Linked DNA regions of Tamandua tetradactyla. The protein of the gene in region 1 interacts with the protein of each later gene in a biochemical or structural test. Links are inferred from orthologs where the notes say so. Each region holds a gene or a part of one and is shown on either strand. Other genes may lie near its edges. The genes, in order: NEDD4, GABARAPL2, NTRK1 and HNRNPUL1.

Region 1 (8,021 bases):
TTAACCTTTACTTTATTTTCAGTTTACTGGGTAATAAAAGTTTAATATTTTAATTTCTCTTCCAAATGTCATACACCAAGGCTGGTATTCTAGTTGAAAGAAACAAATTTATTTTTAAATAATACCCTAGGGTATATTTAAACCCCTTACCTGAATTTTATAGTTGGAACTCCAGTAATAAATATATACTGGCTCATTCATAGGAAAGTAAAAAAGTAAAATAGTTCAGTTGTTTACACCACATGGTACTACACCCATGTTGTATTTTTTTAAGTAAGTTTTTCTCCTAAGCAAAAATAAATATATAAAACATATACTTGCACTTTGTTTTTTTAAACTGCTTAAGACAGATCTAACTACTTTCAATCACAATTTTCTAAACAGTATTTTTAAATCCATTTAAACACCACAAGATAGAATTGAAGGCATTTACTAAAGTATATATTTGACTAAAAAGAAATAGCATTATATTTGAGAATTTATACAGTAATTATAAACCTAATGTTTATGTTATTTGGTTTCATGAAACCTATCTCCTTTATGATTTTACAAACTTCAGTAAATTATTCCTTATCATCTTTTTTTTTTTATATAGAAGGAAGAGTCCTAATCTTTTTACCTTGCCTTCACATGACTACAGCTTTCCTTTTTGGATTAAGATGGAGGTCTGGTAACCCAAATAATGGATTACTTGCGATGGATCAACAATGCAAATCTAATTTCCAGTTAATAAGCAAAACATCTCTGTTAATAGAAAATAACAAGCATCATATATTTGGTTGGATAAACGTTTTCTCTTTGATAAGCTTCACTATAAGCATTAGTTTCATGACTCCTAACTAGATTTTAAGCTTCCAGTGTTCAAGAACCATAACTAAACATTTCTTCCAATCCTCCTGAACTCATGCTGGACACAAAGTAAGCACTAAACTATACCAGGCACGCTGTCTGCCTGACGCTTCCTTTCAGGTTGTGTGTGTGTGTGTGTGTGTGTGTATGTGTGGGAGAGAAAGTGAGAGACATTGATCCTAGCAAAAAGCACTGCAGCTTGACAAGAAGGAAAGGAAAGTTTGCAGAGAAGGATTCAGCAAAGGAAAGGTAATGTAAGAGAATATATATGCAACTCCTAACACTCCAGTCTGAATTTAAATCCTAGAGAGGCTGAACAGTTTGTACTGCTGGCCGAGGTCTAGGATTACACAGAATCAGTAATACCGATTACAGATACTGCTGTGGAACCTGGGGTAAAATATGGCCTCTTAGCCCATAAAATGCCAAAAGAGGGGCATCAACTCTAAGCTCAAGTAGGGAAGAACCTGAGAGTGGTGGCAGCCCTCATGTGAGAAACCCACACAAGTCCTGTGGGAATTCCATATCGAGTGAGACAGATACAGGCATTCCTCAGAGATATTGTGAGTTCGATTCCGGCCTACTGCAATAAAGCGAGTCGCAAATGTTTGGTTTTCCAGTGCATGTAAGAGTTACATTTATACATATGGTAGTTTATTAAGTCTGCAATAGCATTATGTCTTTAAAAATGTACATAAATTAATTAAAATATGACAGAGACACAAAGTGAGCACATGAAGTTGAAAAATGATATCGATAGATTTGCTCAACATGAAGTTGCCACAAACCTTCAATTTATAAAAATGCAGTATCTGCTAAGCACAATAAAGCAAAGTGGAATAGAACAAGGTATGCCAGTAATGCCTTATGATTAGATGGAGACTCACAACTCTTCTGAATGATTCTGGTTATTGATTATCTACAACAAAAACAATGCAATTGCTCACATGGTATATACAGGCCCTGGATAACTCTATCCACTGACTAGAATTCTTAAGGCCAAAGATCACGAAACCGGAGAAACACAGCATCTCCACCCAGAATATAGGAGTCTCCTAAAGCTTCAGTGGCTGGATGTGCAGACATATCTCTTAGGTGACACAGAAATAGTAACTTTTGTATTGGTGGGCAGAATTTTCTTAAAGACACATCATTCTAAAACGTTCCATCACCAGCATTACCAACATCAATATTACACCAACACCGAACACCAGTCCTATAGTTAATAATCAACCCTCAGGATCTAAGTTGACTGAAAAAATGGGAAAGCGAGCCTACACTTTCTTAACAGCAAAGGTCAGTTATATTGCAAAAGTGTTCCAAATTACAAAAAGTTATTTCTGTTTAAAATTATACCTATATTCTTTTCCCTACACTTCCTAATAGAACTTGCTAGGTAAAGGATATGTTCTTAATTTAGTTGTGAATGCTTCAGGAGAGACAGGATGACATGTGCAATGGCATAGGTCATTCAATGTTACAGAATCAAGTCTATTACTCTACCAGCCGCTACAGTTTCTGTAATATCTCAGTATCTGCACACTTCAGTTTCTTGCTAGGACTAACAACAACACACATGACCCAGTTCTAATGATCTTTTGCTCCCTTTTGCTAGTAAAGTGAGTTTCTTGAGAAAAGCAGCTATATTCCAATGCACAGCAAAGCATCTAACAATGCATACACTAAATGACATACTTTAGTAAACACAAAAAATACGGTGTCGGAAAGCCATAAATGCAGGAACCCAAGAATGTTAAATAACACTTCATATTTATATCATGATGGTTAATTTTCTGAATGCTTTCATAGTCATCTAATTTTATCTTTACATTAAACTTATCAGAAAGGCAGGGCAAATATTGTTAACCTCATTTTTAAAACAAAAGAAAATATTTTCAGAGGGATTAAATGACTCGTCCAGGGTTACAAGGTAATATACCACAGCAGAGGCAGGACTTCAATAAAACTTCTGAGACCTTGGTGTGGAGATTTATAATATCCTGATGAATGCATCTTTTGGTGTTGTTTTTAGTAAACAAATTTATTTTTATGTATCATACTTATCAATCTAGAAACATCCAATTGCCAATATTAGAGGCAAAACTTTTTCCTTCCAACTCATCATGACATCCCATATAGTACTGTGCACAGAGTAAATGCTTAAGGAATGTTAATGCACCAATCAATGTATGATAAACATCAATTTCAGCCATGAAAGAGTCATACCATATTAAAATTACTGTAAGAAAGGACTAAACAGCTAACCAGAGTGGAAAGGAAAAAGACGAGTTTTCCCTCTTTGAGGACAACAGATAAACAGTTGACCAACAATACACCCAAAAATCAGGGAGAAATTTATATCAGTATCAGTAATAACAGGAGAAATAAGATACTAATACCATGACTCAGCAATTCAACTCCAAAATATGGACCTTAGAGATGCCTTTGTACATGTCCATAAGGAAACACAGCAAGAACATTTACTGATTGATAATAGCAAAAAACTGGAAACAACCCAAATATCTACTAAGGAGGATAAATACACAAATTACGGTATTTTGTAGATACGGTATTATGGTCTTATCACACACATATACCCAAAAAGAAATTAAAGTTTCATTCTTTTTTTTTACATGGGCAGGCACCAGGAATCGAACCCGGGTCTCCAGCATGGCAGGCAAGATTTCTGCCTGCTGAGCCACTGTGGCCCACAGTTTCATTCATTTTTAAGCTAACAAGGACAATGGATTTTGTAGATCATAGAATACTATACATCAGTCAAAATGTGTCATCATGGATCAATCTAAAAAATATACATTAAACAAAAAAGCAAGTCACAAAAGAATGCATTCAGAATGATACGATTTTTATAGATACAAAAACAAGCAAAAAGAAACCAATTTTTAAAATGGATATATGATAAAAAATATCTTAAATTATAAACATAAAATTAGGGATAGTGGTTACTTATGGGAGAAGAAACGAGATACCACTGGGAAGGGACAAAGAAGGGTTTCAAAGTATTTGGTAATGTTCTAGTTGCGAAGCTGAATAATGAGTATACAGTTGTTTATCAAATTCTTTAAAATAAAAATTTGTCTTTCATATACTTTTTTGTTTATATTATACATTTTATGATTAAAAGAACACTAGAATTAAAAACAGAAAACATAAAGTTTGGTACCTGATCATATTTGGTAACCTAATCATCAGTATCTGCCACTCAACCTTAGAAAATCAGATTGTACACAGTGATGAACAGTCCTTTTTGGCAGCACCTTTGCTTATGATGATGCTAATTAATAGATTCATTTATGATATCTTCAGCTACTAGCACAGTTATGGTTTCTGGAGGGAAAAAATATGCTATGCATTTTAACACTAGACACAGATGCTCTCAAAATCCATTGTCCTTGTTAGCTTAAAAATGAATGAAACTGTGGGCCACAGTGGCGCAGCAGGCAGAAATCTTGCCTGCCATGCTGGAGACCCGGGTTCAATTCCTGGTGCCTGCCCATGTAAAAAAAAAGAATGAAACTTTAATTTCTTTTTGGGTATATGTGTGTGATAAGACCATAAGCCTTGAACAAATAACAGTGTTCTTATACCTATATGTTTAAATTTTACAGATTTAAAATATAAATGTAAGATGCTAAGAAGAGAATTAGAAATAGGATCTCTAAGAGAGAAAATAAGGAAAAGGATAGGACTTCAAGATAGTCTTTAGGAAATCAGGAACCATAAAATCATTTTATAAAAATCAGGTTTTATTTTGCTTTTTTCCAATGTAAGACTGGAAATCCTTTAGAGGAATTCATTTGCTTATTCCTTTCTGAGTGGAAACGGGATAGTTCTCCTTTGTAGAAGGGTGGAAATAAGAGGAAGGAGATGGGATGTAGTAAGCTGGATAGAGGTGAGCCCAGGAAAAGACACTGCAGTGAGGAGGCACAACCCAGGATACTCTGGAGAAGGCTCCCTGAGCCTTGGGCTATTGACCCAGGTACATAAATGAGCACGAGGAAAGGCAAGACAGAAACCAGTTTTCCTTATTATCTCTTGGGAGGATGGTGGAAAGGTAGAGAGGAGCACTAGAAAAAAGGAAAACCAAAATTGTATCCATCATCGCCCAAAGCACAGATTCCCATCACACTTTCCCTTGCTGCTCTACTGAAATATGCCCTTGTTTCATACTTCACACTAGCACAGTATCACTTACCAAGCGATTTTCATCAAACACTTCGAAAAGAAGCCGGTGTTGCTGAGGATGGACCTAAGTAACAAAAACACAAGATTTCTTTAAGAACAAGTGAACAGCTTCAGTTTTTGGTGTATTGGTGGAGCTACAGAGAAATGCCTAAAATTGCTAAACTGGAATCCAGTAACTTTGATTCTTGAAGGTTGTTGTGTAACTATATAACTTTCACAGTGTGACCAGGTGACTAATAAAACTTTGTGACTGAGACTCCTTTTATCTAGTGTATGGACAGATGAGTAAGAAAATAAAGACAATAAATAAATAAATAATAGGGGATATGGGATGTGTTACTTTTATTTGCATTATTATTTTTATTGTATATGGAGCAATGAAAATGTTCAAAAGTCTCTTGTGATGAATGCACAAATATATGCTGATACTGTAAACCACTGATTGTATACTTTGGATGATTATATGGTGTGTGAATATATCTCAACTAAATTGCATTAAAAAAAAACTAGTGAATATCAGTCCACAAATCCTGAGAAATCAGTGCTTGAAGTTTTGCCACCACCTAATGTGTTACTTACAATATATTTTATATTACATAAATTACTTAATAGTAGAACAGAGAATCATGTGTCAGCCATTTTCTAATAATTTTATAACAACAAGATGAATTTTGTTATTTATTTTTTAGTATTTTCTAAAATAGAAAGTAAGAACTTTAAATGATTATTTAAATGTTTGCAAGCACTTAAGTGTGGACTAGGTTTTAACTTATTATCAATTTTATTTAGTGACTTTAAATTTATTAGGTTAGAACCACCCAAAGTAGATGTTGGTTTTTATGGAAACTAGTGCTCTGAATCCTTTTAGTACCGACTTGACAAAACCATTTGTTGCTTCTACTACCTAAAGTACATAAACAATCAAAAAAGTATATACTGAGTTTTCACTTATTGTTTATACTTGATAGCCCCAGAGTAAACATTCACAGCAGTATTTTATATTTTAATGCTGATGCTTTCAGTCTTGCTGAAATCTTTCAAGGTCAAATGAAAAAAATCTGCTTAAGACTTCCTGGAAGATGGCGGCTTAGTAAGACGCGCGGATCTTAGTTTCTTCTCCAGGACACCTACTAGGGGAGTAGAAACGATACAGAAAGCGCCCAAAGCCACAACAGAGATAAAAAAGACAGCGTACCCCATCCTGGAACGGCTGGCTGGCTGAGAGAAGCAGCTTGGGTGAGATCGCCGAGGCGCGCGGGCCTTACCGGGCGGGGTGGCAAGCGGCCGGAGTTACTCCCTTCCCCCTTCCCGGGCCGGCTGGGAGAATTGGAGAGGTGGTCCCCTGAAACCAAGGCGACTGGCGCCCACACCACGCGCAGTCCCCGGACCAACTGAGAGAATTGGATCGGAAACCCCCAGGCCGCGGAGAACGGTGACCCCGTGACTCCCGGGGAACGTGCACTCTCTCGGGCGGGCCGCTCCCGCTGGCGCCCTCCCGCCACGCTTGTTGCCCAGGGCCGACTAGGAAATTTGGACGGGCTCTTTCCCTGGCTGCAGCGACCAGCAACCCTCCCTGCGTTCGGACCCCGGGCCGGCTCAAGCCGCTTCGGCTAGCGAACCCCCAGGACGGCGATAGTTTTCCAAAGTTTAAGGTCCCACAGCACCTTTTACTGGTGGGACCCGCAGACAAACGTGTGCCACGAGCGCCACCTACTGGGCAGGATAAGAAAAACAGAACCCAGAGATTTCACAGAAAAATATTACAACCTTGCTGGGTCCAACACCAAGAGAAATCTGAATAAATGCCCAGACGCCAGCAGCAGAAGATAACTGTCCACGCTCAAAAGATTGAGAATATGGCTCAGTCAAAGGAACAAACCAATAGCTCAAATGAGACACAAGAGCTGAGACAACTAATGCTGAATATACGAACAGAAATGGAAAACCTCTTCAAAAATGAAATCGATAAATTGAGGGAGGACATGAAGAGGACATGGGCTGAACATAAAGAAGAAATAGAAAAACTGAAAAAACAAATCGCAGAACTTATGGAAGTGAAGGATAAAGTAGCAAACATAGAAAAAATAATGGATAGCTACAATGATAGATTTAAAGAGACAGAAGATAGAATTAGTGATTTGGAGGATGGAACATCTGAATTCCAAAAAGAAACAGAAACTATAGGGAAAAGAATAGAAAAATTTGAACAGGGTATCAGGGAACTCAAGGACAATATGAACCGCACAAATATACGTGTTGTGGGTGTCCCAGAAGGAGAAGAGAAGGGAAAAGGAGGAGAAAAACTAATGGAAGAAATTATCACTGAAAATTTCCCAACTCTTATGAAAGACCTAAAATTACAGATCCAAGAAGTGCAGCGCACCCCAAAGAGATTAGACCCAAATAGGCGTTCTCCAAGACACTTACTAGTTAGAATGTCAGAGGTCAAAGAGAAAGAGAAGATCTTGAAAGCAGCAAGAGAAAAACAATCCATTACATACAAGGGAAACCCAATAAGACTTTGTGTAGATTTCTCAGCAGAAACCATGGAAGCTAGAAGACAGTGGGATGATATATTTAAAATACTAAAAGAGAAAAACTGCCAACCAAGACTCCTATATCCAGCAAAATTATCCTTCAAAAATGAGGGAGAAATTAAAACATTCTCAGACAAAAAGTCACTGAGAGAATTTGTGACCAAGAGACCAGCTCTGCAAGAAATACTAAAGGGAGCACTAGAGTCAGAACCGAAAAGACAGAAGAGAGAGGTATGGAGAAGAGTGTAGAAAGAAGGAAAATCAGATATGATATATATAATACAAAAGGCAAAATGTTAGAGGAAAATATTATCCAAACAGTAATAACACTAAATGTCAATGGACTGAATTCCCCAATCAAAAGACATAGATTGGCAGAATGGATTAAAAAACAGGATCCTTCTATATGCTGTCTACAGGAAACACATC
Region 2 (7,904 bases), on another chromosome or scaffold:
TATACTTGACCTCTTTGCAGATAGTGGGTACAAGCTTGGCTAGCGGTTTTAGGGAAAGCTGTAGCCCTACCCCAAAATAGCATTGGCTTACCCCTTAATGGAATGCTACGCATACACGCACACATACACACACTAGTATTTTGGACATAGCAGAAGAATTTTTTTTTTTACCATGGTTTACACCCAAGTTCATTAAAGAGTCCTGAAGGAGCACATCGTAGTATCAAGAGATAATGTGACGGGGTGGGGGGTATGGTATGTATGAATTTTTTTCTGTTTTCTTTTATTTCTTTTTCTGAATAGATGCAAATGTTCCAAGAAATGATCGTGATGATGAATATGCAACTATGTGATGATATTGTGAATTACTGTTTATATATGTAGAACAAAATGATTATATATATATATATATATTGGGTAGATGGAAATATGAGTGGTCAATGAGAGGGAGGGGTAAGGGGTATGGTATGTATGAGTTTTTCTTTTTTCTTTTCATTTCTTTTTCTGGAGCGATGAAAATGTTCTAAGAAATGATCATGGTGATGAATATACAAGTATGTGCTGATATTGTGAGCCACTGATTGTATACCATATATGGAATGTTCATATGTTAAGAATGTTTGTTTGTATGTTGTTTTGTCAGTAAAAATATTTAAAAAAGAAAGAGAGAGAGATAATGTGAAATTTGTGCTGAGTGGAGTCCGGTAGCTGGTGCCCCTAATTTGAAGGCAACCTAGAAGTAGCTACTAGATGAACAGCTGCGATTCAAACATACAGAGATCAAGAGCTGCCCATTCTGGAGAACTATCCTCAGGGTCCTTACAAGGGTCCAAGATGACATTGTCCTCAACCATAAAATATGACTTTGACATAGTCCAGTACTCTCATTCTTGCTTTTAAAGCTTTTCTGGGGTGGCAACATTGCTTTTAACTTCAGCAATTTTTGTGCTCAAGTCTATGGTTTGATTCTTAAAAATTATACTGTGTACATTTTAAGTGGATGATTTTCATTTACTCAAGTAGCTATTAAAATAAGATTTTTCTAGAACAGATGCCAGATAGTGCCTCCTGAGTGTGGCCCTGTTACTGGACAAAGGCCGTGGATTCTTTTGCCCGACGCGCTCAATAACCAATTCCTGAGACACCAGGGTTTCAAAGAGAGATAGCGTTTATTATGAGGCATGTAGTACAAGAATAGATGGCTTAGCTGTCCCAAATCTGTTTCCCTGAACTGCAGTAATTCTGATAGTTTTATTAGAGAAAAGATGGGCACGGTTTAGAATAATGAGCACAATGGCCCCAGATGATGTAATTAGAGGTGATCTAATTATTGAGCTTGTGCAGATCGATTACATGCTTAGTTACAGAACGTGTGTAAGAAAATGATGGAGAGGTATAGGTGTCTCACAGGTTAAAGTCTAAGCTACTGCACATGTCAGGCAGACCCGCTTTTGTTAGATCCAGTCTCTTTTATCAAGATAACTTTAGATTTGGGGTGGGTTAGTTCTGGTCCAGACCCAAGATACTTCATTAATAAATATTAGGGGCTGTCTTTAGTTATTACAAGACTCTAAAGTTGAAAAACTGGATAACTTGGTAAAATGAAGATCAGTCACAGGGTTTTTACAATCACAGAGAAGATAAGGGCTATACAATCATTACCAGGGATCAGGACAGTTCAGAGATTTCAGGTATTTCCCTCTGTCCAATATGCCATAAAGGAAAAAGGAATATTTATATAATGATTCAGTAATCAAAGTCATCACTTAAATCCTGGTTTCTTGGTTACAGTCCTCTTTGGAGGAAAGAGGCTTTGAAGGACTGCTGAAGGAAACATACTGTAGCTAGTTTCAATTTAGTTACTGCTGAAATAGAAGCAGCTGACTGCTAAGAATGTAGGTGCATTGAGTGTTTCAGCTTCTGTGAGGTGCATGAACTTTACACAAGTATTTATTATGGGAAAAGACATAAAAAAAAAAGTAGGTAGGGAGAGAGGACAGAAAGACACTGCACATCAATGAAACCATCAGGAGGCAGGACCATGAGTTGGTGAATGGTGGATAACTCCTTTCCCTGAGAAATATACTGAGTTCTCATGTGCAAGGTGATAGATACATGCCTGGGACCAGAACATAATTACCAACTCTGTAAAGGGAAGCAAGAGTCTGGGTCCAATTTCTAACTCCTCTGCTGATTCACACATTATGAGAAGGTGAACAACCATCTTCACTCCTTGGGGGTTAATTCTATCCTTAAAATAGATATTTTTCCCTTTATTTTCACTCACCCTCTAGCTCTCACCTAGTTCCATAGCTTTAAATACTTCTCCCCTGAATCTGAGACTAATAGATCTATTTACCAATTTCACATCTTCATTTGGATGTCTTTTGGATCTGTTTCTTGGGCATCTTTTGCTTAATATATCCAAAACCAAACTCTTGACCCCACTTCAACAACACTGGCTCCACCCTATTTCAGCAAATGGCAATTCAATTCTTCCAACAACCTCGACTTTGACTTCTAATACACACCCATATCCAATCTGATAAAAGCAATACGTTTCATACAATTTAGGATCTTAAAGCATTATTAAGTAATTCTTAAACTGGGCAGGATTCCATTCAGAAAGTAGAAGGAAGCGCCATTAAAGGGGTGAAAAAGAGAAGCTCAGACAGGGTGAAAGCAGAAGCAAGCAAGGAAATGTTCTGCTTGGCTGCTATTAGTTTCCATTTTACATAGAGGAGTCTTACAAAGTGGGGAGCAGATATAAATTGATAGTATGGTATGCTTGTCCATTCTGATAAGCTTTCTCTACTGGACCAAAGCAATCCTGTAGGGTGTATTCCATTTTCTCAGAATTGTTTTTGTCTTCTAGAAAAGCTTTTTGGGAAGGGGTCTTCTCCTGGCAATGCCCAAAGTGGGTGGTCATTTCATTTTACTTAAATGTATCGGCCAATTTTGTAAGCTCTAACCTTCAAAATATATCCAGTATATAATTACTTCCCACCACCACCATAGATACCATCCTGGTCTAAATCAACATCATCTTTCATGTGGATTATCACAACAGCTTCTTAACTTGTCCCCTTACTTCCACCTTCACCCCCACCCCCCACCATAATCTACTGTCTACACACAAGCAAGTCTGATCATTTAAAAAGGAAAGTCCTTTGCTCAAGTCCTCCACTAACTTCCCACCTCATTCTGAATAAAATTCAAAGTTCTGTCCATGGTATATGAGGCTCAAAACCTCTTTGACCTCCTCTTCTACCACTGTCCTCTTTGTTCCCTCAGTTCCAGACACACCAGCTCCTTCCTGTTCCCATAATATGCCACCACTCGATCCATAAAGCATTTTATCCCACTATCACTCTTTAGGTCCTTACCCTGCTTTACTTTTCTAAACAGCACCTCTATTTATATGACATATTTATTTATTGTCTTGTTCCACTAGAATTTTAGTAAACTCTATGAGAACAGGGATGCTATGTGTTTTGCTCACTGCTGTTTCCCCAGCACCTAGAACAGTGCTCCCGTATACAAAAACACCTGATTTCTATGTATGAAATTAAAAGAATTTTTCACGTTATTATCAACAAACAAACACTCACCTATTTTGGCTGCTCAGACATGCAGTCTTAAAATAACAAAAATAATTTTAAAATGAAGCTAGATTCAACAGCATCCATGGAGAATTTTAATTGTAGGAAATGATGAATGATAATATTCAAATACAGGCCATTCAGATGCATCAGAATCACAAGCACGGGGTAAGGGTCATGTGCCCAATTAAGTGAATATTCTTATTAAACATTCACCAGCTCATAAATAGATGATGACCCAGACTGGACTGCCCTGATGACTCTGCTTGGAAGAAGGGGATTACATCATGGATTGGAAGGCGTCAAGGCATGTGCTGGGGCAAGTGACACACACACACACACAGCCCAGGCTGTGATTTGCAATCCTCCATCTGCCAAACAAGGAAGCCCGACTCCTGACCAGCTGTCACGGTAATTCTTCGAGACTGACAGTCACTAGGTAAGGTTAAGGGGTCTCTCTTAGTGATCAATAAAGTTACATTCCTCAAATGTGTATTTTGATGCCCTTTCTTAAATGTTCATCAAATATTTATGTATGAATAAAGGAAGGAAATGAAAGTTGTTCAAATTCGATTTCTACATCGAAGGCAACCTATTATGAGTGTCTTCCAGGTTGTCTCTAGTACACCACTCCCCACCCCAGGCTTCTCAAACTAGTCACACACTGTCATACCGAGCCACACCTGCCCCCCCCTCCAAACAATGTCAATACCCAAACAGACCCCCTTCCATCGTCAACCCCAGAAACCCAATGTCTTTTATACTTCCAAACATCCCCTCCTGTCAACTAACACCCTAATCAGACCTCCCCATCAAAAGCCCTCTGTAATTGCCCTGTCCTATTAGCCATACTCCAAACTCCCCTTCCCATAACTAACGTCCACCCAGACCCTGCTCCTGTCACCGTTTCCCGGAGCATCCTCTCCCGGAGTCACCAGCATCCCTCACAGACACACCTACGCAGCAGGTAGCCAGGTAACCGTCCCGGCGCCCCGCGGAGCCCCTCGCGGGGTCCTCCAGGCCCCTCCCCTTCGTGTGGCCCCGCCCCCTGGCATGGTGCCCCGGCAAGTGGCGCCGGAAGCCCCGCCTCCTGCCCGTTGCCAAGCTCGGGCAGCCGGAAGTCCCGCCTGCCGTGTAGTCGCCGCCGCCGCTGCCGTCGTTGTTGTTGTGGTCGGTGCGCTGAGTTCCGCGGCTCGGAGAGCCGGCTCTGTCCCTTCGCCGCCGCCGCCATGAAGTGGATGTTCAAGGAGGACCACTCGCTGGGTAAGCGCTTGGCCGCCTGCCGGGCCGTGGGGGTGGGGGTGGGGGTGGGGGTGGCGGGTGGGCCCCCTCCCCCACTCGGGCTGTCCTGGGTCGGGCCTGGCGGGGCTGATGCTGTGCCCTGGGCTTGGGACGCCGAGGCCCCGGTCCCTGGATGGCCGACGCCGGCCCCGTCACGCCCTCATTCGTCCCGACCAAGAGTCAGGGGATAAAGGACAGCGACCGCGGGGACGCTCGAACGAGGGCCCGGGACGTGCGCAGGTCGCGGGGTAGGAAGGTTGGGGACTCGATACCGGCCGGCGTGTCTGTCAGCTCCGTGTGTTTCCCCTACAGAACACAGATGCGTGGAATCCGCGAAGATCCGAGCGAAATATCCCGACCGGGTTCCGGTGAGTGTTCGGCCTCCCCCGCCCCCTCACCTCGCCGTCACCCCTGCCGTCTAGGGTCTGTGATTAGGATACTAGGCCATTCAGCAGTTGACAAGTTGAGGTTCCAGTCCCGGTTGTAGTAGCAGAAAGGCTGGACTGTGTTAGGGCGGTCAGGGGCAGGGCGTGAGGGGCTCGGGTTTCTGCTGTTCAAGGTTTCTCGGTGCTGAATCTCCTGATCTAGGCCAGAGAGCTGTCTGCAGCCTCTGGGCTCCCTCGCCAATTATATAAGGAACGTTGTTCTGGGACAGGGCAATAGGTCATTGCCACTTGGGGGAATAATGGTGGAGGAGGACTGTCACTTTGGTCTTAGAAGTGGTACTTCAGTCTCAGAACATTCCTTTTTAACTTCAAACCTCCATTTTTACATAACCTCCAGCTTCCTTTCCTCACTCAGACCCTGCTTTCTTTGACCAAAAAAAACCTGAAAGCCACAAAAGAATCCCTTGTCCTCTGGTTTCCCTTTAATAGACAATAAGTATGATCCTGTATTTCTTCCAGGGTGGGGAAATATTGGTTTTCCCAGGGAATCAGGCCTTTTATTGTAGTTCTTTGCCTGTGAACAATTCTTTTGGAGAGAGAGCAGGAAGGACATTCAGACCTCATTCAGACAGAAGCAACAGGCCAAACGAAGAGCGTGGTTCTTGGCTGGCTGGGGTAGCTAGTCATTCTTATTAGTCCATCCCTCTTTGTTTCCAGGGCTCCTTGGGATATTAATTCTCCTGTAGTGTGAAGCAGATCCTGTCTGGGATCCTGGGGTAACAGGCTTTAGATAAAATCCTCACCAGATATTCTCCTTTCTGCTCAAATAGAATGTTGAAAAGCTTAGTAGTAAGAGCTGTGTTTCTCTTATACAGGCTGAGATCAGGGATGAGAAATACAGTACGTGACCACAGAAAAGCACTTACCATTGTAACACGTTTATGTCATTTCTCAATCTCCAGAGTGTGTGGTTTATTAAGATGGGGCTTATTTTCTCATGCTACTCAATTTCCCACCCACCTCCTAGCTCTTACTGTATTTATTAGCTTCCCTGACAATGTGAGGCCAGAGCCTCACTTTAGAAATCCAGTCCTAACTTCTCTTTACTTTCTCAGGTGATTGTGGAAAAAGTCTCAGGCTCTCAAATTGTTGACATTGACAAACGGAAGTACCTGGTTCCATCTGACATCACTGTGGCTCAATTTATGTGGATCATCAGAAAAAGGATTCAGCTTCCTTCTGAAAAGGCGATCTTCCTGTTTGTGGATAAGACAGTCCCACAGTCCAGGTGAGAGATGGTCAGTAGAAGGGCCCTCTGGTAATGACCACTGTTTGGCGTCTTACAAACTCAGAACTTTGAAAGTGTGAATACTCTTAAGGGTCTTGAGTGAATATCTGGATTTTGTGCTTCCTAGCATCAGGAGCCCTCCATGAAAATGAGGAAGGGCAGCAAGACATGGGAGCATACTTTAAGTTAACAAAAGAGAATTCAGTCCCTGTTTTTTAATTCAGGGCCTGAATTTAAAAAAAAAGAAGACGAAAGAAACCCTGCCTTAGAACCCCAAGAATCTTTTAAAACAGTTGAGGACTCAGTTTTAAGCCATAGCTGGAACTGATGCCTCAAATAAAGTTTTCTCTAAATGATCTGTGAAATTAGACCTGTCACTCCACCAGGAGCTTGTGGGCCCTGCTGAGACTGAGACTCAGCCTCAGCTATTCATCCTGCTACTTGCTGTCTAAATGCAGTTAGCTCTTCCCACTATGAGAATCTATAGGTCCCTGATCCTCACTCAAGTCCATTAAAATGGCTACTGTCCAGTCAAGGGCCCTGAAGTCTCTACAGATTAACCCTGTCTTGGTGCCACCTGCTTTGACTGTCAGAGGAGCTCCTGTGCTCTGTCTTGCTACCTGAAAGCAATCTTTGAGGTTATAACTTGGGACCTAAATCTAGGCAGGGCGTTACAATTTTTCCTCTTCTGTGAGGTTGACAGCTTAGCTTTAGTTCCCTGTGGAAAGGAAAATGGACTGGTTCAGTCTAAACCTCTGGACTGTCCTTTACTGTTACTGATTGTGTGCTTCTCGCCCCTGAGTGCGAGTTCCTGGCTGTATTTTGGTAATCCACAACTAACTCAGGTGTTATTTGTTACTCTAAAAGTAGTATATCTAACTAAAGCTGGTAACTAGCCCACTGTGGCCAAAATATGCTCCCTTTAAAAATCCTTGAAAGCTCCAGAAGAGGGCTAAGGCAAATACCAGACCTGTTTATTCTTAAGTCTGATTTCCTCTTTCTCAATCTCCATGTCTTCATTTCCTCGTGTTTGGCAGAGAGGCAGGGCAGGGAAGAAATAGAAATCTCTTCTCTAATGCCAGTGTCCTGCCCACGAGGTACCATTTGTCTTCTTCAGCTGTAACTTAGAAGCTGCAGTGTTGCCAGAGGTGATTTAGTCACCCCAATGGGCTCTTCCAGCCTCCCTGCCTTTTCCACAGGCCTCTGGGCAGTGTGGTGCTGGTGTACTCTTACCCAGGGAGGAAGCCCTGGCCATCTGTAGTTGCTCTTGGCTTCCCTTAAGGTGGTGGGGAGATAAATTTTCTTTTGTACCACCTGGAATTTCAGTAGGTTCTTGACAACCCTATT
Region 3 (7,641 bases), on another chromosome or scaffold:
TGCTCCCGTAGCCTCAGGCTTAGACGATGGGCAAGGAACCCTGGCCTCGTTCAGCAAGGGAGTGGAAGGTAGCTGAGGAGGGGGCCTTCGTGGACTGGCCGATGCTTGGGCAGCCTGCAATAACTGGCACTGAGTTCCTCGGGTATCTCATGGTAATTAACGGGAAGGTATTCAACATCTTTCTCTAATGGCCCTAGGGAGACCAGGCAGAGAGATGGCGGCATCTTGATCTGGGCCTAGGTCCCTGCATGGTGGGAGGGGGCGTGAGACCCAGACTGCCAGACCCCCCGGCCCAGCCCACTCATCACCCTGGCCCTTCACACAAGGGTCCAGGCTCCTGAGTGTTCCACAGCAGTGCTCCCTCCTCCCTTTTCTCTTCCAAGCCCCAGGTAGGTTCAGGAAGGGGAGGTGGGGACGGGAGGCTGAGGCGGGGAGGAGGACAGGGCTGGAGAACTGGGAGGCATGCAGGGCGGTGCGCTGAGATGTTCCTCTGGGTGGGGCAGCAGCCTGACCCACCGCCTCTGCCTGCCCGGTCCCCTCCCTCTTCCCTCACCCGCGGAGCTAACGAGGAGATAATGGACTCGAATAGACAGATTGATTATGAATCCAAACGAAAGAGGCAGCTTTGCGACCACGGCTTTGGGTTTGCTGCCTGACAGCTCGCGCACACACTTGGCCGCTGTGGCCACCGCCTTCTCACCCCTTCCCTGGACCCCTGCAGCTCTAAACCCGCTGGGCAGAGGCTGGAGTGGGGGATAGGGTAGGGACCTGCCCTCCCTCGGGGTCACCCCTTGGCCTGTGGGAACCGAAGACCTGATGTCTGGCTGCCCTGCTGGAGACAGGGCTGGAAAGGAGCGGGGCGGGTCACTGAGGCTGGTCCTGGTTCTTTCACAAGTTAGGGGAAATCAGAGGGTGGAGGGGAAGGTTCTGAGAAGAGGCTGTGAGTCAGGGGCCCCTAGCTCATGTGGGGGAGCACACAGACGTGCCACTGCAGGGCAGCTGGAGTTCTTAGGAACTGCCTGGCATGCTAGGCCCAGAAGCTGAGCCAGCCCGGGTGCAGCCACCCCCCTCCCCACATGCCTGCTCTTTCTTATCTCACTATCTTGCTTTCTCTGGTTCTCTGTCTTTATCCATCTGTCTTTCTGTCTCCCTTTTCTTTGCTATTTTTCTTCTTGTCTGTCTCTGTTTCTCTGCCAGTCTCTGCCAGTGTCTCTGTTTCACTCTCTGTCTCTTTCTTCCACCTGCTCCCCACGTTAAGCCTTCCGGCCTCTCTCACTGTGCAGGTCAGTCAGTCCCTGCCTCTCCGCCCCCCTCCACCGCCCACCCCCCTCCGCCACTCTGACTCTCTCAATGCCCCTCTCCTCCTTCCTCACTCCCTCGGGGTGCCTCCTGGAGCAGGGAGGGGCTCGGGGGGTCCCTGACAGCCTCTGTGTCCCTTGCCTGCTCTACGGAAAGGTGTGTGTGGCGGGCGAGAGGCTAGCGGCTCAGAGGGGACAGGGAGTATGTGGTGGCATGTTTGTGTTTGTGTGGTGTGTGGTGTGTGTGTGGAGTGGTGTGGGTAAGTCCTGAGAGCGGACCCTGAGCCAGTGGGTTTGGGAGCACAAATTCGCATGACCTGGGGGTTTCCTGTGTGCTGGGTGGGGCAGGAACAGCGAGGAGCCTTGCTCATTGTGGAAGCAAATGCTTCAAAGAGGGGCCGCCTCCATTGTTGAACATGGGCAGGAGAGGCAGGAGAGGCCCTTGTGCACAGGCAGAACACCAAGCTGAGGATGGACTTGTGTGTTTGTGTGTGCCTGAGCGTGCATATGTGCACATGTGTATGTGTGTGCCAGAGATACACATGAAGGCTTGTGCATATGTGTGTGTCCTGTGATGATGTGAGCATGCATGTATGTGTGTGCACACGTGTCTGTGCAGTGTAAATGTGTGAGGAGGTACGTCTGTGCATATGTGTACGTCTGTGTGTCTATGTGTGTGTATGAGAGATGTGTGAGAGTGTGTACACATAGATGCTTGCGTGAGAGCGTGAGTATGCATCCTGCATGTACACGCATGTGCTTGTGTGTCCCTGCGTGCACATGTGAACACATGTGGGATGTCTCTGTGCACAGGTGTATGCATGCATGTGTACATGGACACATCTTGAATGTGTATGCACGTGAACAGGATTTGTGTGCATGGATGTGTGTGTGTGCATATGAACATGCAGTGCCTGTACACGTGTGTGTGTGATTGTGAGGGGGCATGTGGGTGGGCACAGGGACGCAAGTGGGAGCTGGGCCCGTGACTCCCTTCTTCTCTGCCCACAGCTACATTGAGAACCAGCAGCGTCTGCAGCACCTGGAGATCAGCGACTTGAAGGGCCTGGGGCAGTTGAGAAACCTGTGAGGGGCAGGGGACTGTGGGGGTGGGGGTGGGGCTCAGCCTGGGGGTGGAGGACAGAGAGTCAGGGAGGGCTCCAGGGTGTGAGGCGCTGGGCTGGCGGAAGTCAGAGAAGCTCAGGGGTAGCCGAGGGGGAAACTGAGGCAGGTGGGGAAAGGTGCAGGGCACAGCACTGGAGCTGGCGTGGGTGGAGAGAGCCACGGGTCGAGGGGCACAGGGTGGCTAACCCCCCGGGGGCTGATCTTCCCGCACCCTCCCCAGCACCATTGTGAAGAGTGGTCTCCGTTCAGTGGCGCCAGATGCCTTCCGTTTCACTCCTCGGCTCACACACCTGTGAGTGGTGGGACTGGGGGGAGGGAGCTGGGGGAGGACACCCCAACTGGGCTATGGATGGTCTTGGACCCCCTCAGGGAACTGTCCTAAGAAGGCCCCCAGCCTGGTGAAGGAAGGCGTCTCACCCGCTTTCCTGGGGCTCCTTCTTGCGAGTTCACTCCAGGACTGCATGCAGTACTCTTGGCCCCCAGCCCTGCTAACTGGGCTGGAAGAAGGTCCTTCTTGTTGTCTCACTTCCATGCTTTATGCTGCAGGGACACTTCTCCTAGGTGCCCGCCCCATCTCTCTTCCCTGGGTTGTGATACACACGGTCCAGAGGGAGCCAGGGAGGAAAGCAGGAACTCCTGGTTTGTGGCAGGGACTCCATCTCCGCGCCACCCCCTCCCTGGTGGGAAGACATCCGCATGCCCGCTGGGATGGCCTGGGAGCTGGGAGTCATCTCTGCCACTTACCAGCCTTAACTTTACTGGGAGTTACAGAGGATGGGGTGACCCTGGAGGGAGAGGCTCTCTGCGTCCTTGGCAACCTTTCCCTGGCCACAGGGTTGGGTGGTGCATTGGGAAGGGAGGTGGGGGCTGCCCTTCATGGGTTGTACTAGGCACTGACCGCTTCACTGCCCTTATGCCAGTGAATCTTTGCAGCCAACCTGGTAAGAAAGGTAGCATCATGCCTGTTTTATAGATGAGGGCTCTGAGCGCGGAGAGCCCTCTGAGATCACAGGGCTGTAAGCGGCAGGGCAGAACTAACACCAGCGCTGCCTGGCTCTAAAGCGGGTATTCTTCCTGGTCCTTAGGGGGAGCTCTCCAACCCAGCCCGTCCCCACCCCAATTCTAGGGCAGCTAAGCATAAAGAGGGGACAGGACAGGTCTCCCAAGGCACAGGGCACAGAACACCTAGGCCAGCTTACTGGGTGGCCTGGAGCCGTCCCCACCGCAGAGAGAACTGGGGTCCCTGCCTGCCTTGACTTTCCTTAGTTCCCGAGGAAGGACTGGAGGGAGGAGGAGGGAGGGGACACATGGAAGGACTTGGAGATGCTGGTTCTCCAGTAGGAGGCAAGGGAGTGTGGGAGCCTCAGAACCTCCCCCCTTCATCTCTGGCCCCAGCCTGGACTCTGTGGGGGAGGGGAACACAGATGGAGCCCCCTCCCCCAGCTGTGGCCTCAGCACTTTGCCAGCTGGGGCCTAAGGGTTCTGGGAGGGGAGGGGAGAAGCTGCTCCCTCAGATCCCCCCTCCCCAGGTTAAGTGGGGTTAACCCTTGTTGTCCCAGGGAGGGAAAGAGCCTACCCCCCACCCATCCCTGCTGCCTCCCAGGGCTTGTTGTAGTTGTGAGGGTTGGAGAGGGGGAGGCAGATGTCACCTTCCCCCCACGGCCGCCCTCCTCTGGCTCGCACTGGGTCAGAGTGAGGTCGGGTCACTCACAGGGTCTCTGTCTCGCTCTGTCTGAACTCTCAGGAACCTCTCCTCCAACAGCCTGGAGTCTCTCTCCTGGAAAACCGTCCAGGGCCTCTCCCTACAGGAACTGTGAGTGCGGGGGGCTTCCCAGGCGAGCGCAGTGCGTGTGTGCGTGTGTGTGTGTGTGTGTGTGCATGTGTGTGTGCGCGTGTGTGTGCGCGTGTCTCGGCATGCTGGTCTGTCACTGTGCTGTGTGGGACAGCTTGGGGACTGGGGGGTGGTCGCTGGTTCTTTGGGGCCCCTGTGTCTGGCTGAGATCACAAGTGCCTGTGAAGGGCGCATCAGAGCAGAGGTGTCTGGAGGGGGCTCCTGCCCTGGGGGGCGTGGGGGGCAGGGCTGGCCGTGAGAAATCCCGTGTGTGCGCCCGGGAGGCGGGTGGGAGGCTCTGGGCCGTGCTGCGTGGACGCGCTGGGCTTGCACACGGCGGGTGCACCCACATGCCTGCTGTGCCGTGCAGGCGGCGCCCAGGCGGCAGGGTGGCCCCGATGGCCTGCCGGTCACACCCGGGGCTGAGTGAACCCTTTCTTCCTCGACACTGTGCTCAGAGTGCTCGCTCGCCTGGCACCCACAGCCCACTGCCTTTGACTTTTCTCTATTTTTTTTTAAATTTCTCAGTCTTTTTTTAAAAAAATGCAATTTTGAGATGTAGTCAACTCACCATACAGTCCCTCCAAAGTATATTATCAGCGCCTCGCAGTGTCACCGCCTGGTTGTGCATTCCTCACCACAACAAATTTTAGAACATTTTCATTACTCAAGAAAAAGAAATACATGTAAAAAAGAAGACCCAAAATATCCCATACCCCTAATTACCACCCCCCACCCCCAATATTGATCGCTCATATCGATGTGGTACATTTGCTACTGTGGGTGAAAGAATTGTGAGCTATTACTGTTAACTGCAGTCCATAGTTCCCAGTAGATAATCTTTTCCCGTGCACCAGTCTTGTTGACACCTTGTAATAGTGGGGGGCCCTCGTTCTAGTTCATAGAACTCTTACCTATCTGCGCAGTGCATCACAGTTATCCTCCTGTATTTCTTTCAATTGCATCTTGTTCCAGGGGTGCAGGAGAGGAGCTCCTCCCGCGTCCGCCTTCTCGCACCTCTAGACCTTCCTCCCTGGTGTCCCCGCACCTCCGCCCACTGTGGGCATTTAATTCCTTGTGGCTCTTCAGGCCCCATGCCTGCGCCTTTCCTCACCCCCTTGCTGTCCCTCCCGCCCACCAGGGTCCTGTCCGGGAACCCCCTGCGCTGCTCCTGTGCCCTGCGCTGGCTGCAGCGCTGGGAGGAGGAGGGGCTGGGCGGAGTGCAGGGACAGCAGCTCCAGTGCCGCGGGCAGGGGCCCCTCGCCCTCATGCCCAACACCAGCTGCGGTAGGTGCTGCAGGCCGTGCTGAGGGGGCTGGGAAAGGAGCTCCCTGCTTGGGGAGAGGGCCCCGCCCAGGGCTGGTGGGCATCCAACCGGACTTGGCGGGGGGGGGGGGGGCAGGGGGAGGTGGCAGGGGGGAGCTCTGGGCGGGGGACTGAGGCACAGGGCCTTGCCTGGGCTCAGCGTCATGAGGAGGGTGGGGGAGGAGCACTGCCCCGGGGAAGGGTTCGGGACCACTCCCAGCTCTGACACCCCTCGGGCGTCCGGGTGGCCAGGTGTGCCTACGCTGAAGGTCCAGATGCCCAATGCCTCGGTGGACGTGGGGGACGACGTGGTGCTGCAGTGCCAGGTGGAGGGGCGGGGCCTGAAGCAGGCCGGTTGGCTCCTGGCGGAGCTGGAGGAGGCAGCCACAGTAAGGGTGAGAAGCCCGTTACCCCCGGAGAGACCCGGCAGGGCAGGGGAGAGAGAGATGCACACGGGGTACACAGAGACAATGGATAAGTTGCACACAGAGCGGGAGGGACGGACAGAGTGGGCAGGAGCCCATAGGGCTCAGGCTGGGGCACACCCCACCCTCGGGGCGGGCACTTAGGCAGCCCCCTCTCTGGGGAGCCTGGTGCTGATGGCAAAAGGGCCACAGCGCCCTCACACAGAGCCGAGAGGGACCCGACAGACCATCCCCCCCAGGTACCTGCTGTCTAGATAAGGGAAACTGAGGCCCAGGGAGGGGCATAGTATCTGCGCTTCTGCCTGGGGGGTCGTGGAGACTTTCCAGGTCTCCTTTTCTGGAGATTCTGGAAGCAGCAGCCTCTGGGGTGTGATGAGCATCTTAGTAAAGGAAACACATGCTTTTGGTTCCAGCTCCCTCACCAATTAATTCTCGGAGTGGCTTTCAGAAAAATCCCTAATCTGCCTGCACTTTGGTTTTCTTATCTGTAAACTGAGGAAGTGGACATGATGGCCTTCTTTTTTTTATTATTTAAATTTTTTTTGTTAGAGAAATTGTGGGTTTACAGAAAAATCATGTGTAAAATGCAGGATTCCCACATTGCACCCTATCATTAACACCTTGCATTGGTGTGGTACATTTGTTACAACTGGTGAGAGCACATTTTTATAATTGTACTATTAATTATAGCCCATGGTTTAACTTAGGGTTCGCCATTTGTGTAGTGCCGTTTCATGGATGTTTTTAAAAGTTTTTATTTTGTTACCTTCTATAAACTTAATATTTCCCCTTTTAACCACATTCGAATAGATATCTCAGTGCTGTTAATTATGTGCACAATGTCATGCTACTATCACCACTGTCCATTACCAAAACGTCGCCATCATTCCAAATAGGAGCGACGTGATGGTCTGATGTTCCGCCTGCCTCTGGGCATTCTCTGGCCTCTATCTCTGTCATCCAGACGTGTCTTTGGACACCTGCCCAGGCCTTGCCCTTGGTTCCCAGGCTGGTGACGGCAGCCGGGAGTGGTCTGACAGCTAAGGCTCGGAGGCCTTGATGACAAGGTCACCCGGGGCTGACAATGGGTTGTGCCTGTCCGAAAAGCCAGCCCCACCTGGGCAGCAGGAGTGTGGCACTAAGTCCAGCCCCTGGGAGGAGCTGGGCCAATGGCCAACGGGGTGTTCAGTTTTGAGGCTCTCACTGTGGGAGGGGGGTCAGCACCAGAGTTGCTGGAAGACCCTGTAACCGTGTTGAAGGAGGGACCATTGGAGCCCTGGGTAGGGGAAGCCCAGACATGAGGAGGGACCACTGGCAGGTGAGTGGACCCTCCCTCTGCAGAGATCAAAGATGCCTTTGAGTGAGAACCAGCAAGCAGACCAGGCAGGGGCGAGGGGCTGGTCCTGCCCGCCTGTGGGAAGACTTGAGTTCATCTGTTTTGGGAAGTTCCAGAGTTTTGCTTTTCTGTATGGGGAAATGACGGATTTGCTACCATCAGTATTTTTTTGACACTTGCTTCAGAAAAGTCACTTCCTACCTGAGTTAAATGGAAGCAAGGGGAGTTGGTCACTCACAGTTGGGAGAATAAGGAGTGATGAAGGAGCTGGAGGGGAGGAGTTTTGGGGCTGCCAGACCCCGGGTGATTTGGAGGAGGTGG
Region 4 (7,499 bases), on another chromosome or scaffold:
CTTAGAAAGATGCCTTTAGGGCACAATCTTAAAAACAATTTGGAGTACAAAACCAACTCTCTGCCTAGCTCCCTTCATTAGTCCTGCCTAAATAGCCAGCCTTCTTTAAGAATCTTTCCCACTCTGTAATAGCTGCCAAACATTAAGGGGTAACCATACTATACTGAAAAGAGAAATTGAGGAGGGAAAGGAGCTGTAATGAAAATAGGGTTTATAACAATAATGGCCTTCAGATTCATTAAGGATAAGTCTTGAAATATTTAGAGTTAGATTAGAAGGGTTCTGGCAAGAAGTCTTAGGAGTCCAGAAGGAGCTCAGCTGGAGCATGGAAAGAACAATAATATGAACTATTCCTGGAGTGTGTATTATATAGACCCTGAGATATGGTTGAGAATAAGCTGAGCTGAACCCCTGCCCAGCAGAAGCCTTCAGGTTAGCATACATTAAACAAATACTCACAAAAAAAGTTATGATTGTGTTAAGGACTACAAAGGAAGGATACATAGGCAATAACTGAGTGATGAGAATGGAGGAGACCACTCCTGGGATTGGCATAACATATCAGAAATCTCAGAATTGGGACTGAAACCAGAGTACCAAACCAGAAACTCCCACAAGGAGGAGAACTTACAGGCAAACCCAGAGAGAACTTGAGAAACCTCTGCTGAGCAGGGCCCAGCCTCTCCACCCCAGGGGGCAGCTCTCTGCTGGGTGTCTCCAGGGCCCTGCTAGTGGCTGTGCCAGAGCATTAAGGCAGAAACACAGGGAAGGAGAGATAACTCTGCCACCCGCTAACCAACTGGTTTCCTTCTCAGAGGACAAATACATCTGGGCAAAACCAGGTGCAACCCAAAGGGAGGATAGCTGCAAGTCACATGGTTTGTTATAGGTCTGTTTACAAGGCTGAATGAAGGATTGGGGGGTGGACACGAAAATGGTTAATAAGATTTTGTTATGGGGGGCAGGGGAGAGAGGAAAAAATAGAATATTTCCTAAATGAAACACAGGGGGCCCTTTCAAACCATTCTGCCTCTTCCATGCTCTAAGTACAGTGCTCGTCTCCCCACATGCCCTATATCCCTCTTCCCAAGCACCCTTCCTGTGCTCACAGAAGCAGCATCGCGTCGGGAAGTTTTGACTCCAGGGTCCTTCTCCACTCTCTAAAATATCCCCCTGCTAATTACTAGGCAGGCCCAGTGCTAAGCCCCCCACATATATGATCTAATTCATTACAAGCCTGAGGGGGCCTATCATCATCTCTATTTTATAGGGCTCAGAGAGACGAATGACTTGCCCAAATTACAGAATCAGACATGAAAGGAAGTCTGTGTGTGTCTAGAATTTGTGCAGTGAAGTACTGAACTCTTCCTCTCTGAGACACCTCTGGCTGGACCTCTAGATCAAAACTGTCCCACATTACCCTCCTTCTAGGTATCCTTGCCAAGGTCCCTCCTGCCCTAGACATGCACACCAGGCCACTTCTCCTTCCCTTCCCTTTGCAATGGGAAGTCCTCTTCTCTGCACCTGGGTCCTGGATAATCCTAGCACCCTCCTCGACCCTAAGTCTATACTCAGGTTCCCCACTCCTCTCCATTAGCTCCCATCCCTCATTAACCAATGTTAACCTGAAATTTTGTCTCTTCTGTGATCAGGTTTCTATATTTCCTTAGTCCCAAGCCCCAGTATACCCTCTTTTCAAAGAAACCAAACTCTGGACACCAGAGTCCCACCCACTTATTTTTTTGGTCTCTAAATTTCCAACCCCCACTCCTGCTAAAAATTCACCCTTTTCTAACTCCAAATTCACTCCTTCCCATACCAGGGTCTCCTCTGCTCAGAAGCCCTTGCCCTACCTAAGTCCCTCTTATGCCCTCAAATCCTGAGGTCACCCCCCCGCCCCACGGCACACAGATAACTGCTTTCAGGAATCCAGGTGCCCCCTTCTCAAAGACAGGTCTTTGGCCCCCAAAACACTGCCCCCACTCTATTGTGAATCCCCAGTCAAACCAAACAGTTTTCCTTCTGCACATCCAACAAGCTCCCTTCACCCCTTTTCCCTATACTGGATACAAGGATCCTCTGTCCCCAAGTACTCCAGTTACTTCAAACTCCAACAACCTGTTATCTGTCCCCACCCTGAGGTATCTACCCTTAGTTGTTTCAGCCTTAGGCCCCCAGGTCTCTTGTTCAGAGAACTTTGGACGCCAAGGTTCCCTAAGCCTCCCTTAGCAGCAAATCTGAAGGTCCTCCTACCCACACCAAATGCCCAAGTTGCTCCTGCCTCAAGGTTGGCCTTCCAGCCCTGGATCTCAGAGACCCTCCAAGCCATCCTCAAGAGGATGCTGACCACCTCCAGGCCCAATGGACCCTCCATCTCTACAAACCATCCCAGCACCCCATGTAGCTGCAAACTTCAATCCTCAAACTCTCCCAATGCCGAAGAGCTGGTTATTCCTTCTCCAACCTTGGAAACACACGGCCTCCAATTCCCACACCCACACGCTAGGCTAGCAAAGTCCCCAAGACCATCCAGCTCTAAACTCTGGGACCATCCTTTCCGAGACCTTTCAGTCTCTTCTATTTCCGGCTTCCGAGCCCTGGGCTCCGAAATCTTTTACCCCCGATCTTCATCTCCGAAACGAAGAGTCGCCAATTCCAACATCTCCCCTGCGCCGAATGCCAGGATCCACCCTCCGGCCCTCCCGAGGCCCTTGTCCCCACATCCTTTTCAGCGGCGGGTCTCAGGATCCCTAGCCCCTAAGACCGCCTCCTTAGCCCCAGGCACCAGACTCCCGCGTCCCTCAGCCCTTTCTCGGCCCGGACTCCTCGGCCCCGGCCCCCGCCCCGCGCACTCTCACAATGTCCATCCGGCCCCGAGTAGCCGCCAGGCTCCGGGTGCGGCTGCAGCCCGGGCGGCGGTGGCTGCGCGGTTCCCTCCAGCTCGGAGCCCCCCTCGGTCTCGACCTCCTCGTTGTTGTGCCCGGGTCGCCCCGGTTCGTCGTCGGTCTCGAGCTCCCGCTCGTCGTCGGGCTCCTCGGCCTCCAATGCCGCCTGCAGCCGCTCAGCTAGCTCGGCCTTGAGGCCGCGAGTGTCCAGGCCGCGGCGCTGCAGCTCCTCGCGAAGTTCGTTCACCTTCAGACGGCGCACATCCATGGCCCGGGCCCCCGGGGCGGCCCCCGAGCCCGGCCCGGCCTCCCAGGGCTCTGTCCCCCTTAAACCTTTCCTGTCAGGAGGCGAAGGGGGAAGAAGGGGGGGGCACTCCAATGGCGGCGGCGGCGGCTCAAAATGGCCGCCGCCGCCACCTCCCCCTCCCCGTGGCCCCGTGTGATGCAACACGCATGCCAATTGGCCAGATCACGGGGCAACGGGCGCGGGTCCGGAAACTCAGCCAATTAGATCGCGGCTTTCAAAACAATGGAAACGAGAAGATCTAGGAACTACCGGGAAGGAAGCGTTGGCCTACGTCGCTGCCGCGGCCGGAGCGGAGGGCGGGAAAAGGCGGAAGGCGGAGCGCGCGCTGATTGGGTGGCGCCCGCGCGCCCGCTACCGTAGAATCAAATGAAGGAAAGGGAGTAAAGATTTGGACCAGTCAGCAATGAGGTCTCAGAATGAGCGCCACCAAACCCTTTCCTGCGCAGTTCTTTCATCAACCTAGTATCTCTGTAACACACATCCTGATTGGTGTAGATCTCCCGCCCCTTGAGGTGGCCAAGCGGTAAAACCACTACAACCAATCTTCTGGTGGCTTTAAGAACCGGAAGGAGATTTATTAACGAAGGACCCGCCTCTTGCCGTTAGGGCGGTTTCAAAACAGTCTGTCGGTCAATCGCAATTACTGTTTTATCTCGTAAAGCCAAGATAGCTGGATGCTTTAGGAAAAGCTAACCAGATTGGCCGTTTTTCAGAGGACGGCCTCAAAAGTTTCGCTGTAGAGGGAGGTATACGGAATAGAGATGAAGTAGATCATTTTTTTCTTAACCTGGAAGAAACTCACTTGCCTTTATGAAAACAACACTTGACTTCGGAGAGCCCTTGAAGATTCGAAAATAGAGGCCAGACTAACAAGGGGAGAAAAGTTGTAAAGGAAGCTGCACCCCCTCCCCTTCGATGGTGCAGCTCTCAAGGCCCTCGTCGAGCGTAGCTCTGCGGCCTCTTCTCTATGGTTGGTACCTTAAGTGGAATGGGCTCTCGCAGGAGGCCCCGCCCCCGAAAGAATTCCAGAAGCTGTTTTTGTTTGTTCTTACCCCAGATCTGTTTGGCGGCGGTACTGACAAGCTCAATATACGGATACGAAGTTAAGCTTCACACTGATAAATACAAACGCCACAGAGTTTCACAATGACTGCCTCGCACCCGGAATCCTGCACTACCTGTCGTCTCTAACTCGAAAGACGAAACTTCAGTAAAATCCACAAGCGAGATACACAATACACCCACCCTCTGTCCAGTGAGCCATATCTTAAGCCCACAAAAGCCACACAACAGCCTCAACGTAAATGAATGCACGGCACGGATGTACAAATCGATGAGACTGAGATTAGATGCAATAATTCCGGGCATAATACACCAATTCAGGATGCATCAGATAGCCGCGTATACGCGTCAGCTAAGGTCCGCACGGACACGCGGCATCAAAAGACACACAGGACAGTTACATTGCAAGCTTCCAGCAATCTAGACACACAGCACCCACTCAGAAACGAGGCAGACACTCACGTGGGCCCGGAGGTTCCAGTCCAGACACCCCGCCCCTCGCCCACGTCCGACTTCCTCTTTCCTCCCAGCTTCCCACAATGATTTGTTCTAAAAAGTTTGTGGCCCGGATTGAACTGTTCCCGGTCCTCAGGAGCCGCCACCGGGGGGCGTCCGGGCGCTGCCAAGGGTTCCTCCATCAGATGTGGGACACACCCAGGAACGGATGCCCGCCAATGCCTGCAAGACAGTGGGCTTGTCTTGGCAGAGGTCCCCTTGGTGGCCGGTGATTATGGCAAGCGTTCTGTACCTGTGTCTCTGTGTGAATTTGTACGTTTGCGCCTGTACCTGTTGTACTTTTATATGTCTCTGAGTACTTGTGTCACTGTTTTAGGATCTCTGTTACTCTGATCTTCCTATTCCTTGTATCTGCCTGTGTGTATGTTTGTAAAGATGTTTGTTTCTGTGTAACTTCGTTTATCTCTTTCAGTGCCTTTGTATTTGTGAACCATCACACCTATGTCCATTGATTCATGTGCCTGTGACTTTGGGGGTCTTTATGTGACCCCAGGTGTATCTATGTGCCTATTCCTAACTCAGAGTTTCTCAGTCTGGGTTTCTTTGCTTGTGTGTCTTTTTGTCTCTGTGTATTTTCTACCCTCTGAGTAGCTCTATAGTGACATGACAACTCTGAGGCCCTACCACCTCCTTTTTATTGATGGGGAAATTGAGTTGGCAGGGAGAGGGGCCACACCACAGCTGATTGGAGGGAGACAAGAAGAGACAGAAGTTTTATGTGAACTGAGCCTCTCCAGAGGCACCAGAGTCCACACTCTGTACATGGGGGATGAAGGACTGGCTCAAGGGGGCAGCATGACCCAAAATGGGGGAGATTGTCTCCTGGGGGGGGGGAGGAGGCATCCCTAATGCATTGCAAAGCTTGAGGGCAGCAGCACACCTCCACTCAAGGGTAGAAGGAAACAGAGGTGGCTAAGAAAGGGAGGGGCACATAGAAGAATATTATAAGGTTCCAACCTTGGAATCATACTAATATTCTGGACCTGTGGAATTTTAGAATCTTTGAAACTTAGAGCATTTGAGTCTTAGAACTACAGTGCCTGGAATCTTAATATTTTAGAAATGTGTACTCTTGGGCTCTTAGGAACTAAAATCCTAGAAAGACGGAATGTAGCATAGAACCTAGAGGTGTCCAACATTAGAAATGATTAGAATGTTGGTGTCTAGAATCTTAGAAATTTACAACTAACGGTGATAGTCTTCGAACTTTAGATGCTTAGGATCCATATCTTAGACCAATAGCATCTACAGTGCCTTGGAATATAGAAACAACGTCATCTTATTAGAGTTTAATAATCTAGAATCTCAGAGTATATGATCTAGAATCTTAGACACAGAGAATCTAGGTTCATTGAGTGTTCGAACATCTCATCTCGGAACATTAGACCTTAGAACCTCTGTGTTTAGACTTAGAATTTTTGAAATGCAGATTCTAGAAACTTAGACTCTTAGGATCCAGGTTCTTATAACAAAAGAATCTAGGATCATAAAGCCTTGGAACCTAGAATTGACTGTCATGAGAATCTCAGATCTTAAGAGTAGAAAACTTGAAGCCTTATAATCCAGAGTCTTATAAAGCCTTAGATGCTAGAACTAGAATCTTAGAGCTTTGTAACCTAAAATCTTGGACCCTTATCAAGAATCGTAGAACCAGAAAATCTAGATTCATAGAATCTCAGAGCTTTAGTACATTAGGCCTTAGAACCTCCACGTCTAGAACCTTAGAACTTTATCAGTGGAGACCTTGAAATAGCTCCTTAGAACCAAAGACTCATAGCATCTTTGAAACTCAGAACCTTAAACTCTAGACTCTTTAGATCCTAGAATCTAGAATTTCGAAATGTCAAACTGGGAGGACCCTTCAGGACTGAAGCTAACTCCCTTCCTTTTACAGATGAGGACGCTAAGGCCTGGAGAAGAGGGAGGGTCTGTTTGGGATGTTTGGAGGTGGGTGGGAAAGGAGGGCTGCACGTGAAGGAAAGGCCTGGGATGGGAAAGTAACGTGGGGCATTCCCCCCAGTGGCAGTGCCTAGCTTGGGTCCTGAGAGGGAGTCACAGATGGAGGGTTGACTTAGGCTCCATCCTCCTGCCCTGGCGGTGCAGGGGAGCCCCTGTTGGCAGGCAGGGTGGGGCCGGGAGCTGTGGAAGGGCAGAGCACGTAGCGTCCGGCAGGGTGGATCTCAGCGGCAGTGAGGCAGCTGCAGGCATCCTTAGGGTCAGGTTGGATGGGGGGGTCAGCTCCTCCAGCAGCTCCAAGGGGCTCGGAATGACCCCCACCCTCATCCATGTTGACATAGAGGATTTCGTCAGGTTCCTGGGCTGGGGGCAGGGCCTTCAGTGTATTCTCCAGGTCCTCCCGTAGTTCTGCAAAACTTGGCCGGTCCCTGGGGTTTAGCTCCCAGCAACGGAACATCAGGGCGTACCTAAGGTGACAGAGTGATGAGTGGGAGGATGAGCGGGGGCTTGGAAGGGAGCATTCTGGGAGTCTGGGGCACCTTAGGACACTAAGGGGACTGGGGACATCTCTTGTGGGCTGCAGGGAACCTCAGCAGTTTGGAAGCATCTGTGGGGATTGAGAATTCCCAAGAGTTTCTAAGCGGGTTCCTGGAAGATTTGGGAGCTAGGCGGGTCTTGTGCTCTGGGCGTGGGGTGGTGTTCTAATGGGGGCTTGTCAGAACAGAGCTTCCCACTGTGGTTCCCCAGAACAGACTCAGGCCTCAACGCCTGGC

The links.
Region 2: the proteins of NEDD4 (region 1) and GABARAPL2 form a complex in vitro, tested with the Homo sapiens proteins (2 studies listed by BioGRID and IntAct). The link is inferred for Tamandua tetradactyla from reciprocal best matches to the Homo sapiens genes NEDD4 and GABARAPL2.
Region 3: of the proteins of NEDD4 (region 1) and NTRK1, one has a biochemical effect on the other in vitro, tested with the Homo sapiens proteins (3 studies listed by BioGRID, with this or other methods). The link is inferred for Tamandua tetradactyla from reciprocal best matches to the Homo sapiens genes NEDD4 and NTRK1.
Region 4: the proteins of NEDD4 (region 1) and HNRNPUL1 form a complex in vitro, tested with the Homo sapiens proteins (2 studies listed by BioGRID, with this or other methods). The link is inferred for Tamandua tetradactyla from reciprocal best matches to the Homo sapiens genes NEDD4 and HNRNPUL1.

The regions. Positions count from the first base shown.
Region 1 is NC_135340.1:71,134,803-71,142,823, forward strand, and holds the start of NEDD4 (E3 ubiquitin-protein ligase NEDD4), read right to left. Parts: upstream 3,462-8,021; 5' UTR 1-3,461. UniProt on the Homo sapiens protein: E3 ubiquitin-protein ligase which accepts ubiquitin from an E2 ubiquitin-conjugating enzyme in the form of a thioester and then directly transfers the ubiquitin to targeted substrates. Specifically ubiquitinates 'Lys-63' in target proteins.
Region 2 is NC_135342.1:70,248,323-70,256,226, forward strand, and holds the start of GABARAPL2 (gamma-aminobutyric acid receptor-associated protein-like 2), read left to right. Parts: upstream 1-4,694; 5' UTR 4,695-4,831; coding exon 4,832-4,865; intron 4,866-5,195; coding exon 5,196-5,251; intron 5,252-6,384; coding exon 6,385-6,557; intron 6,558-7,904. UniProt on the Homo sapiens protein: Ubiquitin-like modifier involved in intra-Golgi traffic. Modulates intra-Golgi transport through coupling between NSF activity and SNAREs activation. It first stimulates the ATPase activity of NSF which in turn stimulates the association with GOSR1.
Region 3 is NC_135330.1:9,863,258-9,870,898, forward strand, and holds the start of NTRK1 (high affinity nerve growth factor receptor), read left to right. Parts: upstream 1-4,134; 5' UTR 4,135-4,236; intron 4,237-5,395; 5' UTR 5,396-5,522; coding exon 5,523-5,541; intron 5,542-5,811; coding exon 5,812-5,954; intron 5,955-7,641. UniProt on the Homo sapiens protein: Receptor tyrosine kinase involved in the development and the maturation of the central and peripheral nervous systems through regulation of proliferation, differentiation and survival of sympathetic and nervous neurons.
Region 4 is NC_135342.1:22,510,119-22,517,617, forward strand, and holds the start of HNRNPUL1 (heterogeneous nuclear ribonucleoprotein U-like protein 1), read right to left. Parts: upstream 3,387-7,499; 5' UTR 3,154-3,386; coding exon 2,859-3,153; intron 1-2,858. Other genes in the region: AXL (tyrosine-protein kinase receptor UFO), read right to left, coding at 6,842-7,193.